Linked DNA regions of Pelodiscus sinensis. The main gene of each other region encodes a partner of the protein of the gene in region 2 in a complex. Links are inferred from orthologs where the notes say so. Each region holds a gene or a part of one and is shown on either strand. Other genes may lie near its edges. The genes, in order: TRPM3, GNB1, CRHR2 and corticotropin-releasing factor receptor 1.

What was found.
Region 1: the proteins of GNB1 (region 2) and TRPM3 are in contact, whole or in part, in a crystal structure (PDB 6RMV), measured with the Mus musculus proteins. The link is inferred for Pelodiscus sinensis from reciprocal best matches to the Homo sapiens genes GNB1 and TRPM3. Residues at the interface, in NP_001153488.1 of Mus musculus: Lys57, Tyr59, Trp99, Val100, Met101, Leu117, Tyr145, Gly162, Asp186, Met188, Cys204, Asp228, Asn230, Asp246, Arg314, Trp332; in NP_001349418.1 of Mus musculus: Lys615, Arg616, Lys618, Ala619, Lys621, Leu622, Leu623, Gly624, Met625.
Region 3: the proteins of GNB1 (region 2) and CRHR2 are in contact, whole or in part, in a cryo-EM structure (PDB 6PB1), measured with the Homo sapiens proteins. The link is inferred for Pelodiscus sinensis from reciprocal best matches to the Homo sapiens genes GNB1 and CRHR2. Residues at the interface, in NP_001269468.1 of Homo sapiens: Arg42, Gln44, Arg46, Arg52, Phe292, Val307, Ala309, Gly310, His311, Asp312; in NP_001874.2 of Homo sapiens: Arg142, Ser143, Lys372, Arg376, Asp379, His380, Ser382, Val385.
Region 4: the proteins of GNB1 (region 2) and corticotropin-releasing factor receptor 1 are in contact, whole or in part, in a cryo-EM structure (PDB 6PB0), measured with the Homo sapiens proteins. The link is inferred for Pelodiscus sinensis from reciprocal best matches to the Homo sapiens genes GNB1 and CRHR1. Residues at the interface, in NP_001269468.1 of Homo sapiens: Arg42, Arg46, Arg52, Phe292, Val307, Ala309, Gly310, His311, Asp312, Phe335; in NP_004373.2 of Homo sapiens: Arg145, Ser146, Lys376, Arg380, Asp383, Lys384, Ser386.

Annotation. Positions count from the first base shown.
Region 1 is NC_134716.1:33,611,927-33,619,831, reverse strand, and holds the start of TRPM3 (transient receptor potential cation channel subfamily M member 3), read left to right. Parts: upstream 1-4,899; 5' UTR 4,900-6,334; coding exon 6,335-6,511; intron 6,512-7,905. UniProt on the Homo sapiens protein: Constitutively active, non-selective divalent cation-conducting channel that is permeable to Ca(2+), Mn(2+), and Mg(2+), with a high permeability for Ca(2+).
Region 2 is NC_134733.1:18,361,140-18,368,500, forward strand, and holds the start of GNB1 (guanine nucleotide-binding protein G(I)/G(S)/G(T) subunit beta-1), read right to left. Parts: upstream 3,009-7,361; 5' UTR 2,732-3,008; intron 2,613-2,731; exon of another isoform or gene 2,524-2,612; intron 2,478-2,523; exon of another isoform or gene 2,331-2,477; intron 1-2,330. UniProt on the Homo sapiens protein: Guanine nucleotide-binding proteins (G proteins) are involved as a modulator or transducer in various transmembrane signaling systems.
Region 3 is NC_134712.1:248,899,016-248,906,946, forward strand, and holds the start of CRHR2 (corticotropin-releasing factor receptor 2), read right to left. Parts: upstream 3,016-7,931; 5' UTR 2,881-3,015; coding exon 2,815-2,880; intron 523-2,814; exon of another isoform or gene 128-522; coding exon of another isoform or gene 110-127; intron 1-109. UniProt on the Homo sapiens protein: G-protein coupled receptor for CRH (corticotropin-releasing factor), UCN (urocortin), UCN2 and UCN3. Has high affinity for UCN.
Region 4 is NC_134739.1:4,618,243-4,625,280, reverse strand, and holds the start of corticotropin-releasing factor receptor 1, read right to left. Parts: upstream 3,017-7,038; 5' UTR 2,613-3,016; coding exon 2,577-2,612; intron 1-2,576.

The DNA.
Region 1 (7,905 bases), on a different chromosome or scaffold from region 2:
ATTCAGAGTGCACAATTTTCTGGACAATGCTTTATTATACTGTCTGCTGACCGGTCTTGTTCTTGTGTCTTCTGGCTTACTTAAGTATTGTGATAGTTTTCAGGATAATAAAACATCTAAGGCTATCCTAATAGCTTAGTGACCTATTTGATTTTGATTTCCAGTTCCTTGCTTCCAAGGCAAGAAGTGATTGGAAGTATTGGGGAGAGATTGCATTCAGTCTCTTGGATCAGTGAACAACGGCACATCTGGAAACTAAGCAAAACTCTCAGATGCTTAGGGAACAGCAGGTAATCTTCCTCAAATGGAAGAATTGATGGCAGTGAGATAAGGTTGAAAGATGTAAAAGGAAAGGCCTTGTACATTGTAAAATTTTCAGTGTTTGGCATAATTATGTATTATTAGGAAGATGAAGTGGGAATTAGATTGATATTTGGTGTGTACCTGAACTATAAAAATAATGTAGGTATTCATGTACTCTTCTGGCAGTGGAAGATGAAATAGAAGATAGCTTGTGAACAGAATGAGTATTAGGTGTAGTGGGTTAAGAGAAACAACGGCATAGTCAGTCTTGAATTCCATCTGACTATTGTAATATAATCATAATATAATATAAATCTTCTGACAATTGGAGATTTAAACAGAGTTTCAAAGTCTTCCCAACTACCATGGGAATAAAATATATATACAACTTATGTGAACAGAATATAAGGGGCATTTGAACATGACACTTCTGCTGTTCCCTAGGAGAAGGTGAACCTAGAGGAAGATGCACTGGGCTGGGACCCAGAGGCTATGTCTATACTGCATATTTATTTTGGAATAAACAATTTCGGAAGAAATATTCCAAAATAGCTTATTTCAAAATAGCATGTCTACATGCCAAGAGCTCATCAAAATAGTGCCGAGCTTTTTAAAAATAGAGCTCCCACACTGATTAAATGCTAACTCGCATTTAAGGCCACCAGGAACCACTTCAGACAATCCCTCAGGCAGCAGCCATGGGAAGTATCTGAGGCTCTTGCTTAAAGGGAATTTTCGAATGAGGAAGGACACCTTTCTGGAGCTCTGACTGGTTCACCCCTGCCCTCAAGCAACAGGACTCTCACATGAGACCCACCATCCTCCCTCAAAAAGTGGATTGCGATAGCCCTCTGGAAGCTTGTGCAGGTATGGTGCTCTCGGGCTATTGTCCCAGGATGGGGGAGAACTGCTGGAATGGAGTTCCCTAGGGAAAGGGGGAACTTTGGGGTGGTAGCACTGGTGCAAGTCCCCAACCCTGCCGGGGGATGGGGTAAATGGTGGAGTTGCTCCTGGTGTGTGTGAAAGGAGGGGGGATGGGGGGAGTACATCTTCCAAGGGCTCTTGCCACCCTCTGATTCTGTTTCTTTGTCTGTCTCTCCTTTTACAGGTGGTGCTGGCCATCAACACCATTGTGCTGCACAGGGTCAAACACCTCAGCGTAGTGGAAACCATCATTGCCGCCTTTGCCAACATGGGCTTCCCCAACTGCAGGGGAGGGGAAAGTAAGGGCACCCACATCCCTATCCAGGCATCCGTCTATATCAACCAGAAGGAATATTTCTCAATGGTCCTGCAGGCCATCAAGGACCACTGGGACCAGTTTACAGACATCTACGTCGGGTGGTTGGGGAAGGCTCACAACGTTCCTGTCTTCTGCAACTCCAGCATGTTCCAGAGGCTGCACGCAAGAACTTTTTTCCCCAACTGCACCATCAGGGTCAGGGACGTGGACATGCCCATGTACATGGTAAGGGATGTGGCCTACCCTCTGTAGCCCTGGTTCATGATGTCCTACACCAGCCACCTGGAGCACTCTTGTTTAATAATTTACATAAAGATACTTGATTATCTAAGAGGCATATGAGGCTAAGAAAGATACGATTATCGATGAAATAAAAGATCCCAAATATTATGGTTATCTATCCATTCCTATTCTAACCCATTATCATCTATTGCTTTTCTTTTTGCTAAATTTTAATTATTTGGCTGAAATTTTCTAGATACATTCTTTCTCTGTTTTTAATGTTTCTTTATTTAAGTGTTAGGAAAAAATGTGAAGCACTTTCTGACAATGAGTGAAGTGAAAATAGGTAGTTTTAACAATCTTAAAACTATCTTTTCAGAAATGTTCCCTCTAATCTTTTTAATCTATGTGAAGATTTATTCTGTCCATGTGCAGAATAAATTTTATGTGCACCAACACATGTCAATGTGCACCACTAGTAGAAACAACAACCCCTAGCTGTGGATGCTCTACTAACCAGTTGGGCGGCATTTGAATCTCTTCTGAGCAGATGCACAAGCACACAGCATACAGGAAACACTGCTTTCCAGATTTTTTTAAAGAGCTCTAGCTCCTCAGGAGTTTTCAGCAAGACTTGAAGGCTACGTCTAGATTGGCAAAAGCACTTTTTGCGGAAAAGCGTCCCTGGCCAATCTAGACACGCTTTTCCGCAAAAAAGCCCCAATCGCGAAAATCTGAGCTGTCTACACTGGCCTTTTTGCGCAAAAGTTTTGAGCAAAAGGGACTTTTGCCCGAATAGAAGCAGCATAGTATTTCCGCAGAAAGCACTGATTTCTTACAGTAGGAAGTCAGTGCTTTTGCAGAAATTCAAGCGGCCAGTGTAGACAGCTGGCAAGTTTTTCCGGAAAAACGGCTGATTTTCCGGAAAAACTGGCTGGTCTAGACACAGCCGAAATGTATCAGACAGTTCAGTGGTGAGAAAGGTGGCCTTGTTTTCCCTGTGAAAATTCATCCAGACTTTGCTAAACAACAAGCTTCAGAGAGCCACTGTCTGCACATGTGCAGAAGAGCTTAGAATCATAGGGCTAGAAGAGACCTCAGGAGGTCATCTTGAATCCAGCCCCCTGCCCAAAGCTTGTTAAACTCTGAACATTCTCCCTGCCCTGCACATCCTTCTCAGTCTTTAATGAAACTCTTCCATCATTTTGAAGCAACCATATAGACAAAAATGTATCCTGCTCCTGCTTCTGACCTAGCATAAAATGCATTGGGTTGGGACCCAGGGAGACCTTAGTCCAGTGACTCTGCTTTCCTGCTGACTGATGTTGATAATTCTTGTGCCTTCACAATCCTTAGTACTAAACTAAGCCTCTACCCCTTGATTAAAAAGGGAACATGACTCAGCCCTCCTTGCTCCTCTCTCAATTTCACAATAAACTTTACCCCCTTACACTGAATGAAGCATGGGACTTCTGGAAAAAAATGGAAAGTGATATGTAACTAAAGACAGTACCATAATTCATCTGCATAAAGGGAATTGAATTATGGTCACAAAGGCAATTTTGGTTTGTTTGTTTTGTACTTGACTTTGCATCCTTAATAAAAACTGAAGAGATACAAACATCAGCCTAAGTATTTGTTTGTATATATAAATTAGATTGTGGCCATTCACAAAATCCTGCTTTTTCATGCCATTATCCTTATGAATTACGCCTGGTGTCACATGCACGATGAGAGAGAAATTCTACTGTTTATGGTTCAATTTTTTGTTTAATGTGGAGTTTTGATTTTAATCTTTTTGCCACAAAATATATCCCCATTTTGTAAGTGAGGCTGTCAACGCCAATACTCTAAATCAGAACTCCCACCCTCCCTAAAATCAAACTTCACTACATTAAATTAATGTCTTTCTATCACTGGGTAACAAAACTGGTGAAATAACCTCACTTGCTTTTTCAAGCACCAAAGGGACTGACTTCTCAACTGTCTATAGCTTAGAGTTCTAGTTATTGAAGTATTTCTGTATTCATAAATCCTGCCATAGACTCTTACTCTACTCCCTCCTCTTTCTGAAAGACAGAGAATCCCAGCTTCCTTGAATCCTATCATGAAAGGGAATCTTCTGTCTTCCTTGTGACCAGAGAGTGTCCCACATTTTTGGTGGGTTCTAAGATATTTTGAATACAATAGACAAATTCTCTAATGAATTAACGTGAATAAAAACCATCCACACATAAGAAGGCTTTAGATTTTACAGTGGCTAACTATATTCCCTGATTTGGGTGGTTTGCTTTCTAACAGTTACGGTCAGAGCTTCAGAAGCCAGAGGAAACATCATAGTAGACCTTGGCTTATAAAGGTTAAAATATTAATTTAACTTTTTACAATGTGTGTGCCCATTGTAAACATAAGATTATGAATTTGCTTCTTATGACTCTCTTTATTGGGCAACCCTACTGATTTGAGTGCAGATGCATTTCACTAAAAAGCCATTGAAGCTACTTAGGAAAGGAACTGAACCTCATTGCTATGTAACAAAACCTTGGAATATTTACATCTCTTGGGAAGAGAAATATCCTCTCAAATTACCTACTTGATCAGATTCTATAACAGAAGGCATTAGGCTTCCTAAACTCATAAAAAGTATTTGGCTATTAGCTTCCAATCTACATTTAATAGAGCTATTAGCATTATTTTGCATTTGCTGACCTAGCCTTCCTGCTATTACCATGGCATTAAATATGCTGTGAAGCAAGTGCCAACAACTCTCGACTTTACTGAATCACATTAGATAACCTGGATATAAATGGGAATAATGTGCACCAGGCTATATAGAATGGATCTGATTTGGTTTAGATATTTAATTTAGATGAGTGATGTACACAAGTATAGCAAATTACTTCCACTAAAACATTTCCTTAGAAATTTGTGTAAGGAGGGTTAACTGGTATGTGCAAATCAAAAGCTTTAAACATTTCTTAGGTATTCCTTGACACCTATGTTATACCTTGGCATCCTAAATGATCCTTGAATAAGTGGAGAATTCCAGATGATCTTTTTAAGCATTACCTTTATAACTACAAAAAGTACAATGGAATGTGTGTTCAAGCTCAAGGATTTACTGTGCTGCACCTTGAGACACCTTGTAGTCAATATTCTAAATTTGAATTTGGAGACAAGACCATTACAGTGCTCTAATCGTTCCTAAGCTGTAGCCTAATAATTACAAAAGGGAACTACTAGCCCAAAGCCTTTCCTGCTCTTGAGTTGTACCGTCAGTTCTATGCTATGGTCTGCCTGTGACCTCCTATAAGTTACTGTAAACTTTTGTTTCTCAGTTTCTTCATTTACAAAATGGGGACAAATAAGAGTGACCTACACCTCACAGGAGTATTGAGGGACTTGGATTTATGTTGCGGAAGCTCTTTGAGATTTTTAGGGCGCGAGCCACTTTACTACTGTAAAAATGTTACTCCGTAAACCAAAGGATACAACAACTCTCCTGCTCCATCAACAACTCCATTAGCAATGGCTGAATCCCAAGCCGGGAATGATTTTGTGTCCTACACGGCGGCGTGCGCTGCCTAACCACAAAGAGCATGTTCCAATAGCGAAGGCAATTTACCTCTCCTTCTCGCACAAGGTAATGTATTTCCTTGCTTGCACTGCCTCAGATAACAATTGCATGCTTAATTCCCTGGTTCCTGGGTTGCAACTTCAATACACTCTGTTGCAAAATAATAACAGTTTAATTGTCTCTCCGCTCTTGCTTCTGTGAATGAAACTTGACCTTTCACATCACGGTCGTTTCGGATCAAATTTAGCAGGTTAATATACAGCCGCTTCTTCATAGCTCTTCGCCCTTGGGGATCAAAATGATTAAAACCGAACAAACTCATGGGGGGAGGGGAGGAATCCCACACGTGTCCGGCTTGCTGCTGCAACAATCAACCTGCAGTGCAATTCGGCGGATGAGTTTCACCTGCCACCTCTCTCCAAACTCGGACGGGGAGTTATTTTTGCCCGCGATGGGAGGCACATCCCGGTAAATGAGTGTCAGGAAAGGGGAAGGAGACGCTTCCAGCGTCCCCTGCAGTTGGCACTGACCATCTTGGGAAAGACCAAGGCACAGTGGAGCCTTTCTCCAGCGGGGAAGGTGCTCGGAGAGGGACAAGTTCTGTGCCCACGAGCTGCCGCCAGCCTGTCCCTCCTTCGCCAGGTGGGATCAGGTGTGCGAGAGGCTGGCAGGGGAGGGGGCAGGGCCGCCTGTCCCGTTATCTCCTCCCTTGCCAGCGGCTGGGGAAGAATTGGGCGAGGGGAGCGGAGACGGAGGGAAGAGCGGCTGGTTCTGCGCCAGCTGCTCCCCCCGGTCTCTTGGCAACGTCATGACAAGCGCAACCTGGGCGCTGCTGTGGTAGCTGGCGAGCAGCGGGAGCCGGCTCCTCGCGACCCCGCCCCAGCGGCAGCCCGGCGCCTCCCGGGCGCGCAACAGGCGCGCGGAGCGGGCGAGCCAGCGGGATCCCGGCGTGGCGGCCCCGCCGCCGCCGCAGCAAACTTGGCTGGAAGATGGGGAAGAATTGGCGGAGCCCGAGCGAGGCGGAGCGAGGCTGCTCGGAGCAGGAGGACGCGGGCAGGAGACGGAGCCGCAGCGCCAGTCGGGGGCGCTTCGCCGAGTCCTGGAAAAGGCTAAGCTCGAGGCAGGGGTCCACTAAGCGGGCTGGGCTCGCTTCCCAGCAGGTGCCGGTAAGTGCGAGAGCCCGGGCCAGGCGCCCTCCCTGGAAAGCCCTTGGACTTGCTGCGGGGGGACTCGAGGAGGGCTCCGTGAGCGGCCTCTCCCGGGGGCAGGGGAGGGTTTCTGCGGGCAAAGCGGCTTCACGGGGGCACCCGCTTCATTGCGCGGGCTGTGGGCAGCTCTGGGGCTCGGGTCCATCCTTCATCCTCCCTAACCGCTCCAGCGCTGAAAACCCGTCTGCGCGGGGGGAACGCCACTCCCTCCTCGCACTTGTTGCGCTAGAAGCTTTCTCCGTGAGCCAGTCGTTGCTTTGGGTCTCCCTCCCCTTGTTGAAATGACCAGATACAACCGCGCCCCCCTTCCCCCCCAGTTGCTGGAGGTATTCTAGAAAAACATGTCTTATGTCTTCTGACTCTGTCTGGAGACAGGGGCAGGGAAACCTGTTGCTTGTAGCTGCTGGAAGAGCTGAGGAAAAAAGAAATGTGTTTACTGTCTTGGTTATACTGGTGATGGAATGGACTGAATCCTCAAACCAGAGCCCCCAAAAACCATGTACATACCTACTGGCATCTTCACACGACATTGGGATTTTCAGTTTCCTAATGGTCGGTAACTGCTACTGGAACCATCTCACATCCCTCCTTTTATGGTGGGTTTTTCTTTCCCCTTAAACTCGCGTCTGAAAGTTTGTCTCTTGAAATAATTTTAAATCCTCTTTGGAGGCAATGCGCTATGAACCGTGTGAGCTGTTGAAACGTGAGGGAAAACTGCATTCAATGAGACACACCCTATTTTAGGTTTTAACTTTTATTTTTCCCAAATATGAGGCTTTCATAAAGTGTATTAAAAAGCTTGTATTTCTTGCTTAATAGAAATTTTGTAAGGTGGAGTGACAAACATATTTATGCATATACACGCGTACATGTATTTGAAAGTACATCTCCAGTATCTTTTCCTGACAAAATTAACAAGAAAACTGAGGGGACAGTATAAAACTCTTTGGGCTGTTACAAATTTATTTTTCTCACTTTACTTTGAGTACTACTGCTGTCTTCATTTGCTTAGGAAAATACCATATGTTCTTACCAAAAACCTGTTGCTTTGGTTCTCAAGTTGTGCATTTGGTTTGATAGAATTAGTAATCCTCCCTCGTTCTCCTCTCCCCCCCTCCCCCCCCCCCCAAAGTATATGATAACTTGTTAGCTGTCATATTGGAAGGAAAATATCCACAGGTTGACTGCCCTATTGGGGGGAAAACATAAGGGTAAAAGGTCCTATAAGTGTGCTATGACAACCAGAAGACATGTGGCGAAGCAATACTACTCTCATCTATAGGGAAAACTCAGTCATCTGTAACACTTGTAGTTTAAAATTATAATCTGTTTTTTAAAAGATGAAATCATGG
Region 2 (7,361 bases):
GGTTATTTAGAGTATAACCAACAGCAAATGATGGATTATACAAAAATAAATTCAGAGAGCAGCAATTAAATTCCTGATCCATTATCAAGGGTTTAGAGGTCATCTGAATACAAGACATATTATAAACCAGCCAAATATTTTTAGACTAGTATAACATGTATTTTTTAAACTTAACAGTCATTTGAAAATACCTGAGAATAAATCAGTTGTATTAAGTACTAACTAGAGTCTAATGTAACATCCTCTATAAAATAAAAAGAAAGTTAATACTAGTATAAATAATAAACATCAAACTACCAATAGGGAATGTATGCCTTTTGCAATATAAAAGACCTCTTTTTGAAAGCCTAATGTAATTTTTAAAATATGACATGTACCATATAAAACGAAGGACAAGGTTTTAATATCCAAATAACATTTTTCTTCCACCTCTCTATTAAGGAAAGAATAATGATCTAAGTATGACAACAATTTCAGGTCAAATGCAGTTTTAGAAGCCTCCACAAATCATCTGAAGATTCTCAAGCAGAAAAGAGCTGCTCCTTTGTATCACAAAAAAAAAAAAAAGGCTACTTTGGGCCTGATTACTACTAGATTGGTAAAACAAAATTTTACAAAGCCATTCACACAGGTTTTTATATACACATTATAGATTATGGGAAAATATTTTTTAAAAAAGTCTATTTGTGGTTAAAATAGAAAACAAAGTAAAATGTTCCTAAATACCATTATAAGAGGCGTTAGATGGTAGAAGAAAATCATATTCGTGTTTTATCCAGTCACAGCCTACAGTGAAAATTTCAATAAAACTATTTACTCCTCCCACTTACTCTATCCTCCCATCTATATGGGAGAAAACCAACACAAATTAAAATAGAAAGAAAAACTCTGTTTGTTTTACCATTCCCTCAATCAACTTCCCACTGCAAACAAAAAAAATATGAGAAAGCAAACAGAAGAGACATTAACATATAAGAAATAAGATCTAGTTGAACAGAGCTAAGATGAGGAGTTGAAAATGAGAGAGCTGCCTTGCTGCAAACGCCATCTTGTTGCAGTTATTGGGCCCAGGCACAGGAGGGTCCATTCATTCACAGCAAAAAAGAAAATCAGACACACACCCTCGGTAAGCTGCAGCCACCAAAACAACTGCACTATTATCACCCCACTCCCCAAAAATACACGCTTATCTAGAATGTCTTACACAGAACACTTAAGCAGAATTTAAATCTCAGTGCAATCCCTTATTGTTTTCCACATGCATTTTACAAATAAAGTGACAGCACTTTTTCTTGATTCACATCCTTGTGCTTAGCAAACAAGCTTCAAAATGTGGAATAAGCCTTCAAGGACTGACTAGGTGCAGAAATGATCAAACTACAAAAATGTTTTGTCTCATTTCATTTTCAGTTTTAAATCCTTTCCTCTTGAGTTCAGTCAGTTGTCTGTAGGAACAGTTTCACTGGTTTTTTAAAGCTTCCGTTTATTGTAAGATGTTCTTTGCTCTTTGTTTCTACTGTGTAGACAATACCTAATAATGTAGCAGTTAATATGATAGAAAAGACACCTTATGTGAAATGAGTCCCAAGTTGTAACTTGGTCAGAGAATGTTGAAAAATCACCTTTGTTAAAATTTCAGCTAATCTTCACAAGTGATAAATTGACATCTTGGAATAACTCATCATCCCGACAAGGTTTTTTTTTAAAGTCTTGACTATTCCTAATCCATTATTCATTACTTAAAATATAAACGATTTTACATTTTTTTTAATTTTTACAAGCCGTTTTAGACTTGAAATTTTAAAAAGCCACACTTTGGAAACCCCTTAATGGATAAAAATGTACTGAAAACATTTTCATAAGGAAACTGTGAATTTGGGGGATGGGTATTGCTTTTAATATTTTTTAACATTTCATCTGTGCAGAAACTCCCTTAGTCTGCTGTAGCAAACATCCTCCATGATCTTTTATATTACACTTACAGGCACACGAAAATATGCAGCACCATACCAGATGGAGGAACAACAAATATGCAAGCTACATAAATCCCTTAGCTATGTTATTAACAACACTTACATACCCACCCTTCCTCCCACAGCCAAAAACAATGTGAACCCACCCTCCAAGCCCCAGATGTTCCCTTTCCTGGGCTAGGGACTGCTTGGAGTCTCACCCTGTTTGCCTCAACCTTGTCTCCTCTTAATCAATTTTCCACCATTACAGCCCCCCCCCCCACACACACACACACGTCCCGCAGCATTTTCTTGAGCCTTCCCGGGCCCCCCCCAAACGCGCTCCCTCAGTAGGGCTCAAAGTCTTTGCCAACTCACCTTTCTACCTTTACACATACACACACACAAAGAACAGCACCGTGCCTAGTGTAAATCACTCCAGCCTAATTGCAATTAAAAATGGAACCCTGCAAAATCCCGGGTTCTCCTCCCTTCTCGTCATAAAAAAGCCCTTCAAAAGAAAGCCTCACTCCCACCCTACCCCCACCCCTTCCTCCTCCGGCAGCTAGAGCCTGGCTTGCGAGGGGAAGCGCGGGGGGGGGGGGGTATTTTCAGCCTCTCGATGCTGAGCAAGCTGGGGGCAGAGGAGAGGTGGCAAAGGTGGGGCTGCGAGGGGGGAGGGGCTGCGAGGGGGGAGACGAGGGGGTGAAATGGGCGGGAAGACAGAGGAAGGAGGGAGACGGGGCAATCTCCGCGGGAAGGGGACCCCGGGCCTTTACCTGCCCCTCCGGCCGCTGCTCATTAACGGGGCCGCTGTGTCCGCCGCCCGCGGCCCGTGCCCACTCTTCGCTGCGTCCCCGCCGAGTTGGGGGAGCCGCCCGCGCTGCGTCTGGCCGGTCCCGGGGTGGCGACGGCGGCTCGGAGGGGGGGGGGGATTGGCTCTCGGCTCCTCCTCGCGCGCTTGGTCCCTGCTCAGCTCCCCGCAGCCATCGGGAGCCGGAGCCTGCCTGGGCGCGGTAACCGCCCCGCCCGTGCGGCCGGGCCGGGAAACCCCGACTGCCGGTCCCGCCCCGCCTCCTGGGCCGGCCCCTCCCCGCGCCCACAGCGGCTGTGGGGGTGACGAGGGCAGGAGGGCGAAGCAGCGCAGGGAGGAGGTGGGGGAAGGGCAGGGGAAAGAGAACTGGGGGTGAAAGGAGCAAAGGCCATAAGGCGACTGCAAGGGCGGGGGACGGAGCCGTCTTTGTGGTGCGAATCCCCCTGGAGCTCGATCTCGAGCCAGCTGCAGCCCGAGGGTCAGACAAAAGCTCTTGAATGTGTCTCTCAGAAAACGGTGGGGCGGGGAGAGCGCGAACGGGGCTGGGGCCAAGGGAAGTCTTCCTAGTTGTGCCATATTGCTGGGGGGTTTTTTCTTTCCTGGATCATGAAACGCAGTTTCACTTTCTGGTTCCCAGGCTCCATATTGCAGGGCTTCGTTTGTTTACTGGTCCTGCCTCAGCAGGCGACTGGAAGTAACTTCTGGTCGTCTCTCCCGCCCCGCACTTTTATGATGCTAGAGGGGAAATGTTTAAATCCGGAGGTAACAGTCTCCATGTCTTTCCAGCAGTCGGCCCTTCCTAGGAGTGTGTGAAACCCAGGACAAATCTGTTTCCTGACTAGTTTTGCTGTGTGCCTGGTTTGCCCATCCACCCCTCACCCTCCATCCACCCACCACGTGCCTCCTCACTTACCTGCCCATCATTCACCTCCTCACTAGTCTTCTTGCTGTCCATCAGCACCCTTGTGGTCCACCCGTGCCATCCTCCAGACCACCACTCACCTCCTCTCCATCTATGCACCCTCCTGGCCTCATCCCCCAGCCCGTTTTCCAGTTGCCCACCTATGTCACCTCCCACCTGCCAAGTATCAGGACAAATGGCATGCTGATCATACATCGCTCTGAATGGGGGACAAAGCAAGGGCCCCCCCAAAATGAGAAGTCACCCTGATTTGCCCTACCCCACAGTTCAGGTTTTGTAAAGGGTCACCCATTTTTTAAAAAATTGAATTTTGAGTCTGGCCTATGCAGAGGTGCCCCTGCAAAGAAAAAAAATCCTTCTGGTACAAAATCAGTATACTTAACATGATAATATATTATCTCTACTCCCAAAGAAGTTAGGTTTGAAGAAAGAAAAGTGCACAACAATAGTCTGAGACTTAAATTAGTTTTTTTAATTTTTAAAGATATAAGAAACCAATGTGTTTTCAGAGTTTTGGAGAAATGTTCCTAGGCAAGAAGGTTGAAAGCAGTTCCCTTTTAATTTATCATATTTTCCCAGGAGACTTAGAAAAAAGCAGACACATAATCTGGTATAATCAAACATAGATGTCCCAGTAGGGCAGGGGTGGGGAACCTCAGGCCTGGGGGTCGGATGCTGCCCCCCGTTTGCCTGGAGCCAGCCCCCAAGGCTCAGAGCTGCCCCCAACATTGGGGAGCCCAAACTGGTGTTCCAGTCCCCTTACTGCCCCATTGTGTGGCCGGAGCACACAAAATCTACTTGCCTTCCCCTGACCCCCCTCCCTTCCCGGCTCTGGTGTGGGAGGGAAATGTGGGGAGTGTCTTTTTCCTTCTCAGTGTAGGGCCACTTCAGTGACTTTTTTTTTTTTGTGCTTCTCATTTGTGGCTCCCGACTGAGTCAGTGGCCCCTAACCCAAAAAAGGTTCCCCTTCCCTGTTGTAGGATTTTATTTGTATTGCAGAAGTGCTCATAGCCCCAAAAGAACTCAGTTGTACAGATAGTAAAAGGGAGTGTCTATTTCAGTGAGTTTAATCTAAATAAGCAAAAGAAAGGAACAAAAATACTATTCTTATTTTACAGGTGAGGATTAAGGTACAGAGAGATTAAGTGATCTGCATTCCAATTTAGTGGCCTACCACCTCGGCCTACTTTCCTAATGGCACAGAAGTAAGTATGCAGATACATTGATCTTTTTCCATTAATGGTCTCCCCTACATTTTCCAATACTTTATTACATTAAATCACATTTCAGAATTTCTCTTCTTGCCTAACTAGTTACAATGAAGCCCAGGAGCACCAAATAAACTCTTTAAAATACACATAGTAAAATCCACAGGGGAAAAAAAAAGTGGCTTAAAATCCTGCCTGTATATGTGCTGATAAAACTAGAAAAGAAAAATAAGACCAATTGCTTAATCAACCGAAGAAAATAAATTGCTTCTTGTAGCTTCAAAACTTTCCTCGATAGGTCATCAGTTGTCTCCTTCTGGATTTAAATTGCCAGGTATGTGAGGAAGTGCATGGTGGGAAATGTGTTTATAAAAAAAAATAAAACCTCCCACCCCCTCAGAATTGGGTGGTTATGGATAGTTACTAAGAGTAAGAATAGTTTTGGTGATTATGATTCAGGTGAATGAGTTACTTGATGTGTGTTAGTCTAGTGTGAAATAACTTAGGTAACTGTGTTTTTGTATATTTTTGTTTATATAATCATTGTTCAGGTGTGTTTTGAAAAAACACACATCCCGTGTTGGAAGTTCAGAACTCCACCCTCAAACTTGTCTATAAGAAAACAGGAAACATACTTATGTGTCTATCTAGAACAGACAAATGAGCATCACAGTTTTTGGGTTACAGTCTCAGTTCTACTATTGTTCCGGTGTGTAACTTCAGGCAGTTTACTTACGGCTCATTCCTACAAATTTAATGGATGCTTACTTCATGGACAGTTCCAATGAAGTCAATAGAAGTCAATGTGTAAAGTAGGGCATTTGTCTAGATGTCCACAAGACTGGGGCCTTGAACTCTCTTATGCTTCATTTCGCCTATCTCTAAACTAGTGATGAGATTTAACTACTTAAGAGGCTTATTGTCTGCTTTACTGGGTACTGGTAAAGAGTTTGAAGAGTAATTGTAAGCATACCTATTGCAATGTTCCAGTCAAAACAGCCTGTCATTGGAGTGATAGGATTTCTTGAAAGGTATGTTTCATAACACATATATAGATACATAGGTGTGGAATTTTTAAACACTGAGATTAAGATATCCTTTTTGAGACCCTAAAATTTGTGGTTAATGACGGGGAGACCACCCAGTATTAAATATACAAAAAAGAGCTGGCATATAAAAAGCTAAAAACCTGTAATATCAAGGAGAGTTCTGGTCTGAAAGCTTTTCTGGTACTGCATCAGCTTTAATTGCCAAAACAGATTGGCCCATTTCCAATCTGACTATGTCCAGAAGTGTCTTGGCAGATTTAAAGTCAAAAAGGTATTTTGTCTTTAAACAAGGCTCTGAGCTTGCTGAGAAAGAGAAAATCGCCTTTTAGTCTTCTGAGATGGTATCTTTCTCTGGGTGTAGGTCCCATATCTTTCCCTGTATTACTAGACTTAAAAATATATGGCAAGGATGATTTGTTATAATCATACAATAACAAACCAATGAACATTTATTCCCCATAATTTCAAGTATCTGTGACATTAGGTGACACACATTCCTGCTGCTTTGTCCTGCTTTATATTGCTTCTCCATTCTTATATTCTACTCTCTAGAAGATTAATCTGGCGTTGTTCTGCGGCAGGACTGGGTACGAAGCATTCAGTATGCAGACTGCCCAGGGAGACAGGACAACTCCAGCCCTCTCTCTCTGCAGAAACTTGGAGCCAGGTGGGAAGTGCCTGTCTAAGACTGCTGCAGCTGCAGTGGGCATGGCTGAGGGATGGGTGCATGTTTTCCATCTGGGGGACAGAAAGACACATATACAGACAGACACACAAACTCTCTGAAATATATAGAAGATAGCTGTCCCTTTCTCCGTCCCTGCCGCCCCAATGGTGCTATAGCTGTCCTAGTCCCCATCTCTGGCCTATTGCTGTCCCTCTGTGGTCATTCTGCAGTGTAACTTCCTCCTGAGAAACCCCTTCCTTTCCATTTTATGAGAAACAGTCGAATTCCAGGCACATCCCATTGTCCTGGCACAACCATGCCCTTACCTTGCTTTATGTTACGATAAGAGGAAGCCGCACACCAAATGTGGTGTTCCTAGCTATTACCATTTAGGAAAGGGAGGGAAAAATACAGCCCTCCGGCTGGATCTGGCCTGCTAAGCTTCCAGATCTGGCCTGTGGGAATCTCTGCCAGGCTCTCTGCCTGACTTGCTCCTGCATACTGCTCAGAGCAGCTCTCTGAATGTTGCAAGCCTCAGGGGAAGGGAGAAGAGGCTTCGCACACTTCCCTCACCCCCAGCAAAATCTTGCAGCTCCCATTGACTAGTAACTGGCCAATGAAAGCTGCCTGTTTTCAGAGTAGAAGTGTGCAATGTACCCCTCCCCACTCTGGCTTTGCATAGTTAAGAGCCACACATGACCCCTGCATCAGATGGAAGGCAGGGACTCTGATTGAGGAACCAGATGGGC
Region 3 (7,931 bases), on a different chromosome or scaffold from region 2:
AAATCAAAACACTTTAAACTAGATTTTGGTGTCTAAGGGCCTGATCTTGCAAACAATTACATCTGTTCTTAATTCCCCAAATGAAAGTGTGTAACAGGGTGGCACTCACCTCCCATAAGACCCCCATCTGGCCAAGTGCATGTGCTTGCACTGTTCTTCAGCCTTTTTTGGCTACTCAACCTTCTGGCCAAGCCACACTCCTATGGGCAATGCAAACCCCTTCCAGGATACACACTTAACAGGTGTCCATCCCTGTGCCTGCTGCTAGTGTCTCCAAATCTGTTCCTCACTGGGAGAGTGGTACCTCCAGGGCTTCCCCTGAAGGAAACAACTTCCTTGCCCCTCGTTCAGGGCTCTATCACAGTTCATCAGTCTTTAGCCAGCTCTCCCTTTGGATCTGGTGCCCCTTCAGTTTCTTTCCCCACTTGGAGAGAGTGGCATTTCCAGGGCTTCTCCACTTGGAGACAGCTTCCTCAGCTAACTTCACAGTCTGCTCTCCTTAAACTCTGTCCTGCACTGACTGCTGCACTGTTTTGCAGTTCCCTTTGTAAGCCTTCCTAATCCCTGATTGGTCAGTTCCTCCTGCAGACAATCTAGCCTCTTTGGAAGACTTCTCTATTGTTTGCTGGGACTGGGTGTGGCAAGACCACAAACTTCCAGCAGGGGGCTTCAGGGCCTCATTCACCCCCATTACAGAATCCCTTTAACTTCAGTGGGACATGTTAAGTGCTTAAAGTTAAGTCAAATATATGCTTAAAGGCTTTGCTAGATTGGAGCCAAAGTTTGAAATTGTTGGACATTATCTCTCTGGGCTACAGTTTCTCCATCTGTAAAACAGGGATAACAAGACACATCTCATAAAGCACTTTGAGATCCAGGGATTAAAATAAATAAATAAAACTGGTCTTTTCGTGGTTTGGGGGGGATTGATGGGGCTGATAAAGAAAAGAAATAGCTATTACCTACAAAAAGCAAGAGTTATCATATACATTGATATAACTATGTACTGACCTTCTGACACCAGATGCTTGGCAGAGCTAGAGTCTGAGAGGTGGACTGTGTGGGGCAAATGTAGTATAACTGGGTGTGGTTCACTATCCCATGTACTGGCACATAGACCACTTACAGAGCAAAAGAATGAATTTGGTCCACAGCCTTAGCTAAAGCAGCAAGAAGTCCTGTGGCACTTTATAGACTAAGGGACGTGTTGGAGCATAAGCTTTCGTGGGCAAAGACCAGATGGTCTTTGCCCACGAAAGCTTATGCTCCATGCTCCAATACTTTGGTTAGTCTGTAAGGTGCCACAGGATTCCTTGCCGCTTTTGCAGATTCAGACTCACAGTGCTACCTCTCTGATGCTCCACAGCCTTAGCTAAGTGGCAGCTAGCTTTATAGCTTAAGCTGTAGAGGCCCATGTACAAAGCTCCACGGGTTTAGTTCTGCCTACTGGTTACAATAGCACAACAGAAGTATGGCAAGGGGCATAAAATAGAAGCCAAAGGTCAAGGAGGATGACATGAAAGCAGAGACTTAGATAATATTCCTCTAGCTCCCTCATGTTTGTTTTCCAACAAGTTTTTCAGTGCACTTTACAAACATCACTCATATATACAAAGTGGTTCCCCCACGCCCCCCCCCCCCCCCCCAGAGATGGAATAAGTAAAAATAGAAGGCGAAGCAAGAGGAAACAAATCAATATACCTTTAAGGAATGTCAAGATGGACTTTAGTAGAAGACACAATGATCATCTCTTATTTCTTTTCACACTGGTGACTGAGATACAGAATCATGGGGGGACCAGAATCATGGGGGGACCAGAATCATGGGAGGGGGGAGTTTGCTCTGCTTTGCAGATTACAACTCACAATTTAATGGGTTTTGGGTGTGGAGAAGGAACTGACTGGCAAAGTTTAAGTCCATGGTGAGCTATGACAACCCAATTCCCTCCCCCCAGCAACATATTTGCAGAGTGGGATGATTCTGCTCAAGGGAAATAAATCCATGTCATATTGCCCAGGTGAAAACGGAGCAAACGTTTGGAAGGATTGGCTGAATTCGCCCTTAGGGTTGCAAATGCTAAATTGTGAATCCTGCTGTGAGAAAGTAACGCAGGGAGGAATCAGCCGAGAGTGAATGCCAGCTCGCAGGACCAGCTCTCGGTGCCTTAGCCAAACAACTAAACATACTGCAGCGAGATCAGGGCATTGGGACTCCGCTGAAAAAAGGTTTCGGGGTGATCTCAGGGGGCAGGGGGTTTTCGGATGCCTTATTTCACGAAAGTTACTCGAGACCGTTGCTAGACGACTCCTTGCTCAGTGGGGGAGCGGGGCCGCGATAAAATGGACCATAGTCCGGTGGCACTTCGGAGACTAACTCAGAGCTAGGGATAGTCTCCCGGGCTGGTGGCTCCGGGCAGTCCGTGGAGTGGCGATTTGGCGGCGGGGGGGGGGATTCGCCGGGACTCTGGGAGACCGCGGCCGCTCTGGGAATCCAGCGGGTCCCGCTGGGCCGGTGCCAGGGCTTTGCTGGATGACGAGGGGGCGGCTCAGCCCGGAGGGACTCCTGTGCGGGGGAGAGCGAGGCGGTGCGCGGCAGCCGGGTGGGTCCTGCTGGCTGCGCGCTGGGACTGGGGTGCCGGGGGGTGTTTGGGGTGCCGGGGGCTCTGTGCGGTCCCGGAGGGTGGCTTTGCGCGGGGGGGGGGGGGTCTGGGGAGCCGGGGGGTGACTCAGTCTCTGGGGCTCCGCTTTGGGTGATCGGGGCGGCTCTGCCCCCCCCTCCACACTCACCCCCTCCTCCAGCCCCCCGGACACTTACTGGGAGGAGCAGGAGCGCGGCGGCCGCGGCGGCTGGGACGCTGCGCGGCGGGGCCGGCCCCCCCATGGGGATGGGGATCCCGGGGCGCCCGCGCCCCCTCACCGCTCCCACGGGAGGCGCATCCCCCCGGAGCCGCGCGAGTTCCCCGGCTGGTGCCCTGCGAGGGAGGCAGGGCGCGGCGCGGGGAGCAGGCAGCCCTCCGCCCCCGCCTCCTGCCGCCGCGCTGGGGCCGGGACAGCCCCTCCCCGCGGGCACCGGGATCCCTCGCAGCGCCCCCTCCTCCGGCCGGGCCCCCCCCGCGGGGCGGAGAGTGGGGGGTCCCCACCAGCGCCCCCTCCCCGCCCAGAAACAGAGGCGCCCCGGGAGCTGGCACCGCTTGGGGAGGGAGCGGAGACATCGCGCGCGCGGGTCCCACCGAGCCCTGGGCACAGTGGATGGAAGGAGCCGGCTCCCTCCATCGCAAGATCCCCCCCCGTCCAGGCCCTCGTTCCCCGCCCCCACCCGAGCTGGGACCCCCTTCCACGGGTGGGCTGTGGGAGTGAAACCAGCGCTCACCCAGCGCAGGCGGGAGACGCATTGGAGTGACTGGAGCCCCCCAATTTGAACTACCCGGCGCTTGGGCAGCACCCTCCTCAGGTTTTTCCCGTGGCAGTACAGGGCAGTCTACACCGGGGCAGAACAGGGGCTAGCCAGGTTGTGTATCCTGGAAGTCCCCGCAGGCAATCACATGAATGTGACAGGCTGTCTCACAGAGGTCCCCTTGGACTGCCTCACCTTGAGCAAACCACTGAGCCTCTACGCACCTCACCGCCAAGGTGTGCCCTCTATTTTTTCCATCCGTGTGCAGAATAAATTTTATGGTGTGCACTGTGGTATGTGAGGATGTGCACCACCAATAGACACGCTGTCCTGTGCATCCTGAAGCTCTGGTCTCCCCCAGAGTTGGGTAACAGCTCCCAGGAGTAACACAGATGCTGGACCAGCTACGCTCTAGGAAGGTTCAGCTAAAGGGGCTTGTCAGCATCCAGGAACACAACCCTCCAAGGGACCAAACCCCAAATAAATTTGTCTTACTCTATATCAAAGTCTCATAAGGGCCACTCTCTTTATGGATGAAAGAGAGAGATGCACAACTGTGCCTCCCCTGCAGGTAATAATTATTTACACTGGGCTTGATGATAAATTTTTAAATTTTTATTAAGTATAAAAAGTAGAGTTTCAGTGAATGTAAATGAAAACAGACAGATCAAAGTAAGTTACTAAGTCCAATTAAACCAAACTGGCCACTTAGGCTTAATACACTAAGAAACCTGTTACATGCAAATTCATACCCTAAGGCTGTGTCTACACTGCACCCCTTTTCCAGAAAAGGGATGCAGATTAGACACTTTGGAATAGGCAAATCCGTGGTATTTGCATTAACATGGCTGCCGCTTTTTTCCGGCTTGGAGATAAGCCGGAGAAAAGCGTCAGTCTAGACGTGATTCTCCAGAAAATAAGCCCTTTTCTGGAGGATCTCTTATTTCTACTTCAAAGTAGGAATAAGAGATCCTCCGGAAAAGGGCTTATTTTCCGGAGAATCACGTCTAGACTGGCGCTTTTCTCTGGCTTATCTCCAAGCCGGAAAAAAGCGGCAGCCATGGTAATGCAAATACCGTGGGGGATATTTAATTCCCCCGCGGATTTTGCTATTCCGATGTGCTACATTAGCATCCCTTTTCCGGAAGGGATGCCAGTGTAGACGTAGCCTAACAGTAGTTCTAATAATCCTTTTCAGAAGCTAAGCAACCAGCCAGCTTGGCCTGATCCTTCCCCCAGTTCAGTCTTAGATGTTTCCAGCATGCATCTTGAGTGGTAATTGGGGGAAGGTCTTCTGGCATCTGGTCACTGCCCTATTACTTTGTTTCCCACCTTTAGATCTCCCTTGACCAAAGCAGGAATTCTTTGTGTTCAGTATAAACACATGAGTGGAAGAGTACCAGATCCAAAATGGGTTCCGGCCTCAGGTGGCCAGGTCACATGTTCTGGCAGACCAATCACAATCCAGGCTTATAGAAAAAAAAAAGACTTTTCACAGCTTATTGGCTTAAATACTGAGCCATTTTTTTCTAGAGTATCACTAATGGTTCTCGTTAGACCATCTAGATTTAAAAACAGATTCTCATGTCATATTTCTAACTTCACATACAAGAATGACATACGCACAGAAACAGAAAAAAAATTCAACAGATTGTAACTTTAAAAAGAACATGTCACATGATGCATTTTGCCTAAAATGTCTGCAAGTTATGCATATGCATATTCATAAGACAATTTTCATAAAGCGGAGGTCAGGTCCCTTCTGGCATGAAACTCTGTCAAACCTTATTCTCTTCCTTACATCCTTTAAGGCTTTAGTGGGAAACATTTTCATAAGGCATTGCTGCATCCTCACTCCCTTTATTTATTCAACTGTTATTTCTATTTACATTTGCCTGCTTGGCCCTAGAGGAGAAGCTTGTTTTAAAGAATCCCGGTTGGATTAAACTCAATATTTGTTTTAGTTTTTAAAAAATTATACACTTGTTAATAGAAAAGTTGTCATGAAAACTGGAAAAAAATGGGAACCAGGTGTTTTAATGGGATGTTAACATTCACTGGCAGGGCAGCATCGTACACACAGCAGGATTGCACTAGTCATGAGAACTTCTGTGTGTACGTACGTGGCTGTAGGCTAGTGCCTTCAATTGGATTTTGTTCTGTGCTCATGACTGGAGTATTGAAAAGGATGTTAATAAATTGGAGAAGGTCCAGAGAAGAGGCACAAGAATGATTAAAGGATTAGAAACCATGCCTTACAGTCACAAACTCACTAGATTGAGCTCCTTGGCTGCATCTAGATTGGCATGATTTTCCGGAAATGCTTTTAACGGAAAAGTTTTCCGTTAAAAGCATTTTCGGAACAGAGCATCTAGATTGGCACGGACGCTTTTCTGCAAAAGCACTTTTTGCGGAAAAGCGTCCGTGCCAATCTAGACAGGTTTTCCGCAAAAAAGCCCCAATCGCCATTTTCACGATCGGGGCTTTTTTGCGGAAAACAAATCTGAGCTGTCTACTCTGGCCTTTTTGTGCAAAAGTTTTGCGCAAAAGGGACTTTTGCCTGAACGGGAGCAGAATAGTATTTCCGCAAGAAGCACTGATTTCTTAAAGTAGGAAGTCAGTGCTTTTGCGGAAATTCAAGCGGCCAGTGTAGATAGCAGGCAAGTTTTTCTGGAAAAGCGGCTGATTTTCCAGAAAAACTGGCCAGTCTAAACACAGCCCTTGAGTTTAACAAAGAGAAAGATAGGGGCTAACTACATCACAATCAAATAGTACCTATGCGGAGAACAAATATTTGACGCTGGGCTCTTCAGTCAAGCAGACAAAGGTAAAACACAGGCCAGAGGCTGGAAGCTGGACCAAGACAAATTAGGTTGAGAAATAAGGTGGATATTTTTAACTATAAAAACAAAGCAGAGAGAGTGAGTGAGTGCATGAGTACACACACACACACACACACACACACACACACACACTTAGCAAGTGTAGGACCAGTGTTAATAAGGCCAATTCAGTCAGGTGCATGTGGCTTGCTCCCAGTAGTTAATGGGGAGGTGTGAATACCAAGAGAAGGAAAATTGCCTTTGTAGTGAGATAACCATTTTGAGTCCTTATTTAGTCCTAATTTGATGTTACATTTTCAAATGGATTGAAGCTCTGCTGTTTCTCTTTGCAGTCTGTGTTTTAAGATTGTTGCAGAAGGATGGCTACTTTTAAATCCATTGAGTGTCCAGGGAGGTTAAAGTGTTCTCCTACTGGTTTTTGTATGCTACCTTTTTTGATGTCTTATTTGTATCCTTAATTAATTTACTGAGGCTTGCAAGGGGTTCTTCCTCTTGAAAGCTAGATTGGATGTTTCTTAAAAGGTTATTTCTCAACTTCCCCTGCGTCCAGACTCAAGTCGCGTTCTTTCGAAATAATTTCGAAAGAACGCGGCTTTTCTTTCGATGGCGGTAAACCTCGTTTCACGAGGAAGAACGCCTTCTTTCGAAAGCTCCTCTTTCGAAAGAAGGCGTTCTTCAATGTAAAGAGGCCGTCTTCGAAAGAGAGCATCCAGACTCGCTGGGTGCTTTCTTTCGAAAAAGCGGATTTCTCTTTCGAAAGATCCGCCTGCAGTCTAGACGCGATCTTTTGAAAGAGGCTCTTTCGAAAGATGCTTTCGAAAGAGCCTCTTTCGAAAGAAGCCTGCAGTCTAGACATAGCCTCGGAGTAGTAGTTGGAGGAAACAGAGTAGGCACCTGAAGTTTGTGGTTAGCCAGAACAAGACATATAAATAGAGCCCAGAAAATCTGCAGCTATCCACGGGTATTCGTATTTGCAAATGTCAGTGTAGATATCCACAGTTCATTTTTGCAGATACAGATGTGGATGCAGATTCAAATTTTGTATCCGCGCAGAGCTCTACATACAAATATATGAAGGATCATGGAAAAAGTTTCTTATGAATGCAACATAGCCACAATATTTATAACCACCCTAGTGGGCGGTTACTTATATGATTATATGTCTAATTTAATGTAACAACTAATGACTGAAAGAAAGAAAAGTTCTGTCTAAGCATGGCTGTAAATATGAGCCAACCTTCCACCAAAGCAGGGTATTAAAAATTCCAGGAGACTAAATTAAATAAATAAAATAATAATATAAAGCAGGGCTATTCAACTTTGGAAGCCCTGGGGGCCACAATGATACTCACAACACACTTAAGTGTGGTTGCATATACATGCAAAAATATGTGCAAATAGCTTCTTTCACACTGACGGGTGTGAATACAAAGATTAAGACAAGACTACACAACATGTAGGTCCCATTCAAGTCTGTTCTTCTGATATTAATAAAATGCACTATTTACCTGATTTCCACCAGTATAACAGCACTTTTAATGAGCAATAACAGTCCAGACATTTAACTACAGGCAGTCCCCGGGTTACATGGATCCGACTTACCCCGTTTGTAAGTAGGGATATGACGTGAGGCAACCCTGCACTAGCTGCTTCCCCCCAGCAAACCAGGGAGATGCGGAGCGGCTTTTCTCAGCA
Region 4 (7,038 bases), on a different chromosome or scaffold from region 2:
GTGGTCTAGGAGGGACTCGTATGTCTCCCAAGCCCTGCAAAGACTGCCCAGGACTGAGAGACACAGAGGCTATGACTTCTTTGCCCTTGAGAATAGTAGCAGCCCTTCCCCGAAGAGGCCCCAAGTAGGAGGAATATCATAGAACACTAGAACTGGAAGGGACCTTGAGAGGTCATTGACTCCAGTCCCCTGCCCTCACAGCAGAACCAAGCACCCTCTAGACCATCCCTGATAGATATCTGTCCAACCTGCTCTTAAATATCCCCAGTGATGGAGATTCCACAACCCACCTAGGCAATTTCTTCCAGTATTTAATCACCCTGACAGGCAGAAAGTTTTTCCTGATGTCCAACCTAAACCACCCTTGCTGCAATTTAAGCCCCTTGCTTCTTGTCCTATCCTCAGAGGCCAAGGAGAACAATTTTTCTCCCTCCTCCTTATAACACCCTTTTATACTCCATCTCCTCTTTTCGAAACTAAACAAGCCCAATTCTTTCAGGCTTCCCTCCTAGGTCAATCATGGGAGGTGCTGAGAATAAAGTGTGGGAAGGAAGTGTAATGTGATTCATCAGAGGTGTGTTAGTTCAGGTAACCCTCTAAACCGGATCCTAGGAAGGGAGATTTTGGTCAGATATTAGGAAAATCTTTCTAACTATATGGATAGTTAATCTCTGGCACAGGCTTCCAAGAGGTGTTGTGAAATCTCCATCCCTGCAGGTTTTAAGGAACAAGCTGGATAAACACTTGTTGGCCCCAGGCTACGACAGAGACAAGAGGGGAGAGGATGGACCGACTTCTGTTGGAGGGAGGGACCATCATCAAAGCTACTCAGAATCTTCCTCAGGTCTGGGGAAGGAAGAACCCAATGGTCTAGAGATGCTCTGGGTCAGCCACAGGACCCTGCAGCCCACATGCCAGACATGGCTCATCCGGCTGCCAGGCAGGTTGCTTAACTGGGCATGTGTTAGCCAGGCCACTTGCAGCTCCCAGTGTCCAATGGGAGCCACAGAAAGCATTGTGGGCTGGGCCACCACATCCCTGCAGCTCGCATTGGCCAGGAACGGCAAACCACAGCCACTGGGAACTGCGAGCAGCTGTGCCGCTCAGAGACACAAACCATATGGAATCCTGCCTGTGGCGAATCTCCATGATTCTAGGTTCTAGGTTCACCTGGTTCTGCCTCAGCACAGGTGCAGAACTTCCCCTCCATTGCCAGACTCTATGAAGTGTGTTGCCTTGTAATTTCATTGTGCTGGATCTGGTGTGTTATTTATCAGTTTACCTAGACAGTATAGACCCGGACCTAGCTAAGGCTGCCCTCTACTCCACTTTCATCCCTCTGCCCCACTTGGTCAATTGCTCGGGATCTCTTCAAATGGTTTGGGATGAACTCCCCAGAGGGGCTCTGGACAAGGGTGTGGACAGAAGTGACAGGAAAGGGGCAGTTCTTCCTGAGCTCAAAGACGGGGAAAACACAGAGGAGCATTTAAACGCTAACTGGAAACAGACAATATTTCCCATGATTTTTGTAAAAAAAAAACAACCTCAAAAATCCAAAGCCTACCACGAATGGTGCGACCATAACATTGCGCGAGAGCTCTCTTCATGCAGCATTACGGTAGCACAGCGACTACAACAGAGACTCGGCTCATCCAAGGCAGGAGCGTGGAACCGCGCTGCACCCTTGGCGCGCGTTAGCACTTCCGAGTAATTCTTCCCAATGCTCCGCGCTGCTGGCACTTTGGACGCCCCGGTTTTCCGGGTAACACGAGGGTCTGCAATTACTTCTGTCGCACAACCGACAAGCTTGCAAAGCGCCGCTGCGCCCAGAGGGCCGGTCGAACTTAGCCCTCCGCCTTTGCGGACTGTCTCTGGCCGCTGCGGGCTTTCCCCCGCCGGGAACTCAGCGGGCTGCACAGAGCTGGTCCCCTCTACACCGGCCCAGAGCGAGCCGCGTTCTGCCACCCCCGCGCCGGGGTTTGCCAAAAATGTTCGGGTGCTCGTCGAACCCCCCCCCCCCCCCTTGGCACCGTGTGGGTTGGGTCTGGGTTCTCAGCGGAACCCGGCACCTCGCCCGGGGGAAAGGCAACGGCTTGTCCCGCCCGCGGCTCCAGCTTCGATGTGTTCCCACAAGTATCCCTCGGACCGGGGCCGGTGCAGCGGGGAAAGCGGGCGGGCATGTCCGGTAGGGGCCCTGCCGGCTCCAGCCAGCCAAGGCAGCGGGGGACTCGACTCGCGGCCACTTTCAGGGAAGCCGGGAGCAGATGGTTCCGCGGGGAACCAAGCCGGAGCCGCGCGGAGCAGCGCGCCAGGGGATTTGCCGGAGCAAGCGGGGCTCGCCCTCTCCCAGGGCTGCCCCCAGACCGCGTCCCCAGGACGACCCCCGGGAGCCTTCCCTCTTCGCTCTGCCCCGGCTGGAGCGCCCGCGGCTCCTTGCATGGCGCGCTGCTGCGGGCTCGATACATCGCCAACTCGCCCCCAAGTGCCGAGGCCGGGACAGAGGCGCCCCCGGCGCAGCTTGTGCCAATGCAGCCCGCTCGAGTGAGCGGGGTCCCTGGACAAAGCCCGGCTCTTACCTGCAGGGCGAGGCTCGGACCTGGCCGCAGCACCATCCTGGGGCTGTTAATTCCCCCCTGGCCGGGCTCCGGCCGGCATGGCCCGTCTGCTGCCGCACTGCTCGGGGATGCTGGTGTCGCGGAGGAGCGGGGAGGGAGCCAGGTCTGCTTGGCAGGAGCCTGCCTGCGGAGCGGGCTCTCCGGGAGCAGGAGCTGGCCCCCGGCTCTCGCCGCCAGCCCCCGGCCGGTCCTTTTATAATCCTGCTGCGCTCGGGCTGCCCGGCTCGCCGCCTTCCGGCTCCCCGGCTCGGATGGGGCTGGGTTCCAGCCTCCCCCCGGCGTATCTCCTCCTCCTCCACAGCCCCCCTCTGCCCTCGGCACTTCACCTGCCCAGCCAAGGGCAGCCCCGCCCGCGCCAGCGGCTCCGCTCTCGCCGGTTCCTAAGGGGGCCGGTGCTTTGCGGCCAGCAGCGAGGCTGGTGCTGCAGAGGCTGAGCCGGGGCGGGGCGGGGGGCTCTGCCGGAGGCCGGGGAGGAGGCGGGCTGGGTATTTTAACTCCCCCGCTGCAGCGCTGCAATGGGCAGCCCCCGGGCACGGGCAGGAGCCCCGCCGGGGCGCACACGGGGGGCTGGGGCGCAGGATGCAGCGGGCGGCTGGGGCGGGGGCGCTGAGCGGGCGGGACAAGGCGGGGGTGCGGAGTGGGGAGCTGTCCCGGGTGCGCGGCGGAGGCTCTGCCGCCTGCCCCACTCCGGTGCCGGCCGCCGCCTCTGGTGCTCCGGGGGTGGTACTGCGCCCTGGCGCCTTCCCTCCTCCGGACGGTGCGCCCTGTCTGCCCTCCCCAGCGCGGCTGTGCCCTTCCCCAGGACCAGCAAATATTGGCAGCTCCTGCTGCCCACGGCAGGTGCCCGCGGGCTCAGTGCGGGGCAGCCCTGAGCGAACCGGAGTGAAGCCGCAGCTCTCCGGCCAGGCACGCGGCCCATCTCGCACCCCTGGACACGGGAGCGCCTCAGCGAGTCCTGTGAATTCAGACTCCAGTGCGCTTCCAACCGGGATTTAAATCAGCGTGTTTTATTCCCATCGTACAACTGGGGAAACTGAGGCAAGAGGCAGCGACAAGAGTCGTGACTTTGCCGGGGGGGGGGGGCAATTTAAAAGTGCTGATTCTTAACCACCCCTGCTCTAACTGCTAGACCGTTCTGCCACTCCAGGGCCCCTCTCACTTTCCCTGGAGTCCCTAGGAGAGAGCCAGGACAAAATAGCTCCTTGGTTTGTTTCTTGGCGGTCCAGCACCCAGGCTATAATTTTCAAGCTGTTTCCAGGCCAGGAGGAACAGACCTGGTAGGCAGAGGCTTTTGTTCCTTGCTGCCCAAGGTGCCTGGACTGAGGAGGTTGGCAGAGGAAGGGATTGCCTTTATAAAATCAACTAAAGCAGTGGCTCCTTGCAATACAATAGCCTGGCTGCAATTCCTGGGGCCAGGAGACTTGGGCTGCCTGGACTGAGGGGATATTCTCTGATGCTCAGAGACCCTGTAGCTTGCTGGGGGTTGCGGCAGTGCCAGGGCTGCTGCACTGTTGTGTTTTTCTTGCCAGTAAATCACTTTGAGTGGGACCTGAGGTCCCCTTGCGGTGAGCACCCAGCATCCTGCACTGCGGCTTCCCATGTCACTCTGCAGGCCTCGGTGGGCAACGGCGCTAGCTGCCTGAACCGGTTTGTGGAAGGACGGCTGCACGGCTGGGTAGGGTGCTGGAGGAGTGCCTGCCCCAGGGGGATTCCCTGGGAATAGACCTGCCAGTGAAGAGCCAGTGAAAAGGGGCTCAGGGAGCCATGTCTGTGCCGACATTCGCCCCCGGTTTGCTGGGGACTGAGCAAATCTCTTGCTTTTGGCCAATAGAGCACCAGGTGCTTTACAAAGGAGTGCAGCATTATTGTTCCCATTTTACCGGTGGGGAAAGTGAGGTACAGAGAAGTGAAGACACGTGCCCAACATTACCCAAAAGGCCAGAGCAAGGAACTCAGTGTTTCTGAGTCCTGAGTGTTCTGTCCACTAGGCCTTCCTGCCCCCCTGCTGCCGTCCTACTACCACCTGGTTCTCGGGGTATACTCCAAAGACAAGGGATTTGCTTTTTTCTGAAGCCTGGGGTGCCAGGAGTCAGCCTCCAGCAGAAGCAAGAGGCCATAAGAACAGCCATACTGGGTAAGACCAACGGCACATCTAGTCCCACAGTGGCCAATGCCAAGTGCTTCTTTGGGAATGAACCAAACAGCCAATCATTGAGTGTTCCCGCCCCTGTCCTCAGCAGAAAGGGCAGATTCCCTGTCAGTTCCAACAGCAGTTCCCCCTCAGTCAAACACTGCTCCTGCCAATTACTGTGGCAGGAGTAGCCCTGGGTATCCTGGACAGATAAACAGGAGGTCAATGGGTAGCAGGTTTAAAACTAATAAAAGAAAGTTCTTCTTCACACAGCGCGTAGTCAACCTGTGGAACTCCTTGCCAGAGGAGGCTGTGAAGGCTAGGACTATAATAGAGTTTAAAGAGAAGCTAGATAATTTCATGGAGGTTAGGTCCATAAAAGGCTATTAGCCAGGGGATAAAATGGTGTCCTTGGTCTCTGTTTGTCAGAGGCTGGAGAAGGATGGCAGGAGACAAATCGCTTGATCATTGTCTTCAGTCCACCCTCTCTGGGGCACCTGGTGCTGGCCACTGTCAGCAGACAGGATACTGGGCTAGAAGGACCTTTGGTCTGACTCAGTACGGCCATTCTTATGTTCTCATGTAATACTGCAAGAATGATAGGATAGAAACCAAGCCTTAGTAAAGCAACTGCTTGCCTGATTCCTCCTATCCCCATTCTTAAGGCTCTTTTGATTTCAGCTGCTTAACTAAAGAAAAGGGCTCAAGAGTTGAATTTAGTTTTATAGCGTTTTGTAAAATACCCATAACAACAGTTAATGAACAGTACAGGAGATAAGAAGGCAAACATGGATTCCTCCATGGTTCCCTGTTCTGTTCATTGCCTTTGGGGCACCTGGCATCGGCTACTGTAGGAAGACAGGCCACTGGGCTAGATGGAGCTGTGGTCTGATGCAGTCTGGCTGTTTTTATATTTTTATGTTTTGGACTAAGACATGGCTAATGCCAACTAGAAAATTGGTCAATATAACCATGTAGGATTTCAGAATTAAATTACACAGCCACAAGAGACCGTGACCCTTATCCTTGGTCACTAGGTAGAAATGCCGACTAGGTTTAGATTTTTGACTAAGTCCCTTAGCGTAGGCTCTGTGAAAGCTGTTCCCCATTCTGGCACTTGAATGCAGAAGGTGGGCCCCGCAAGAGACTTTAAAATACCTCGCCAAATGCCAGTAAAGACTTCTGTTTAAAAACTCTCCAAGGTCACAGAATCCCTGGCCTTGGATGGGTATCGCTGCCACCACCCAAATACAAAAAAAAAAATAAACAAATTTGAGAACCCAGGAAGATGCATTTGGGAATTTCTTCCTGTGAAGTACCCTCAAGCTCTTTAACTTTCCCTCTGGTGAGAGCTTGAAAAAAAAACAACCAACCCTGTGATTTTTCTATGCAGTCTTAGGCATGTGCACACAGAACCTCTTGCCTTTTAGACACAATCAGATCACAATCTTCAAGTGATTTTTATCAACAAAACAAGTAAGTTTTTACTTGGTGAACATTACTTGGTTGAAAGTCTCAGGGGGTAGCCGTGTTAGTACATAACTCTAAAAACAACAAGCGGTCCTATGGCACCTTAGAGACTAACAAGTATATTGTAGCATGAGCTTTCATGGGCACAACCCACTTCATCAGTTTACTTGGTTGCTAGATGTTACAGCGTAACTGAGAAAAAGTAAGAGAACAGTAAGAGTAACTGAAGTAACAGTAAAAGTAACTGAAAAAACCCCACAGAGAATTGCTTCCCTGGGATTCAGTTTGGAGAATAACGGTGTAAGGAGGTTACATGTGCTCTCAGGGTATGTCTACATTGCAAAGTTAAATCAAAATAACAGCTGTTATTTCGAATTAACTTTAATAGCGTCTATACATGCAAACTGCTATTTCGAAATTCATTCGAAATAGCGGAGCGCTTAATTCGAATTTAGTAAACCTTATTCTATGAGGAATAACGCCAAATTCGAAATAGCTATTTCGAATTAGGTGCTGTGTAGACACTTAATTCGAAATAGGGGGCCTCCAGCCCTTCCCAGGGAGCCCTGGTGACCACTCTGGGCACAACCAGGAAAACTTACTCTCCTCTCCCCGAGCCCCGGAGCCATTAAATGGGTAGCTGCCTGTGCCAACTCCAAGCCTGCCAGCCCAGAGCCAGCAGTGGCGACTGGGGCCCCTGATCCAGTGGCCCCAAAATATAAGCCAGCAAGCCACTGGCAGCCAGCCCTCCACCGCTCCCCAGGACCAGTCTGCCAGCTCCCAGGAGCCTGCCAGGGGCTGGAGAAGGCAGGCACCTTCCTG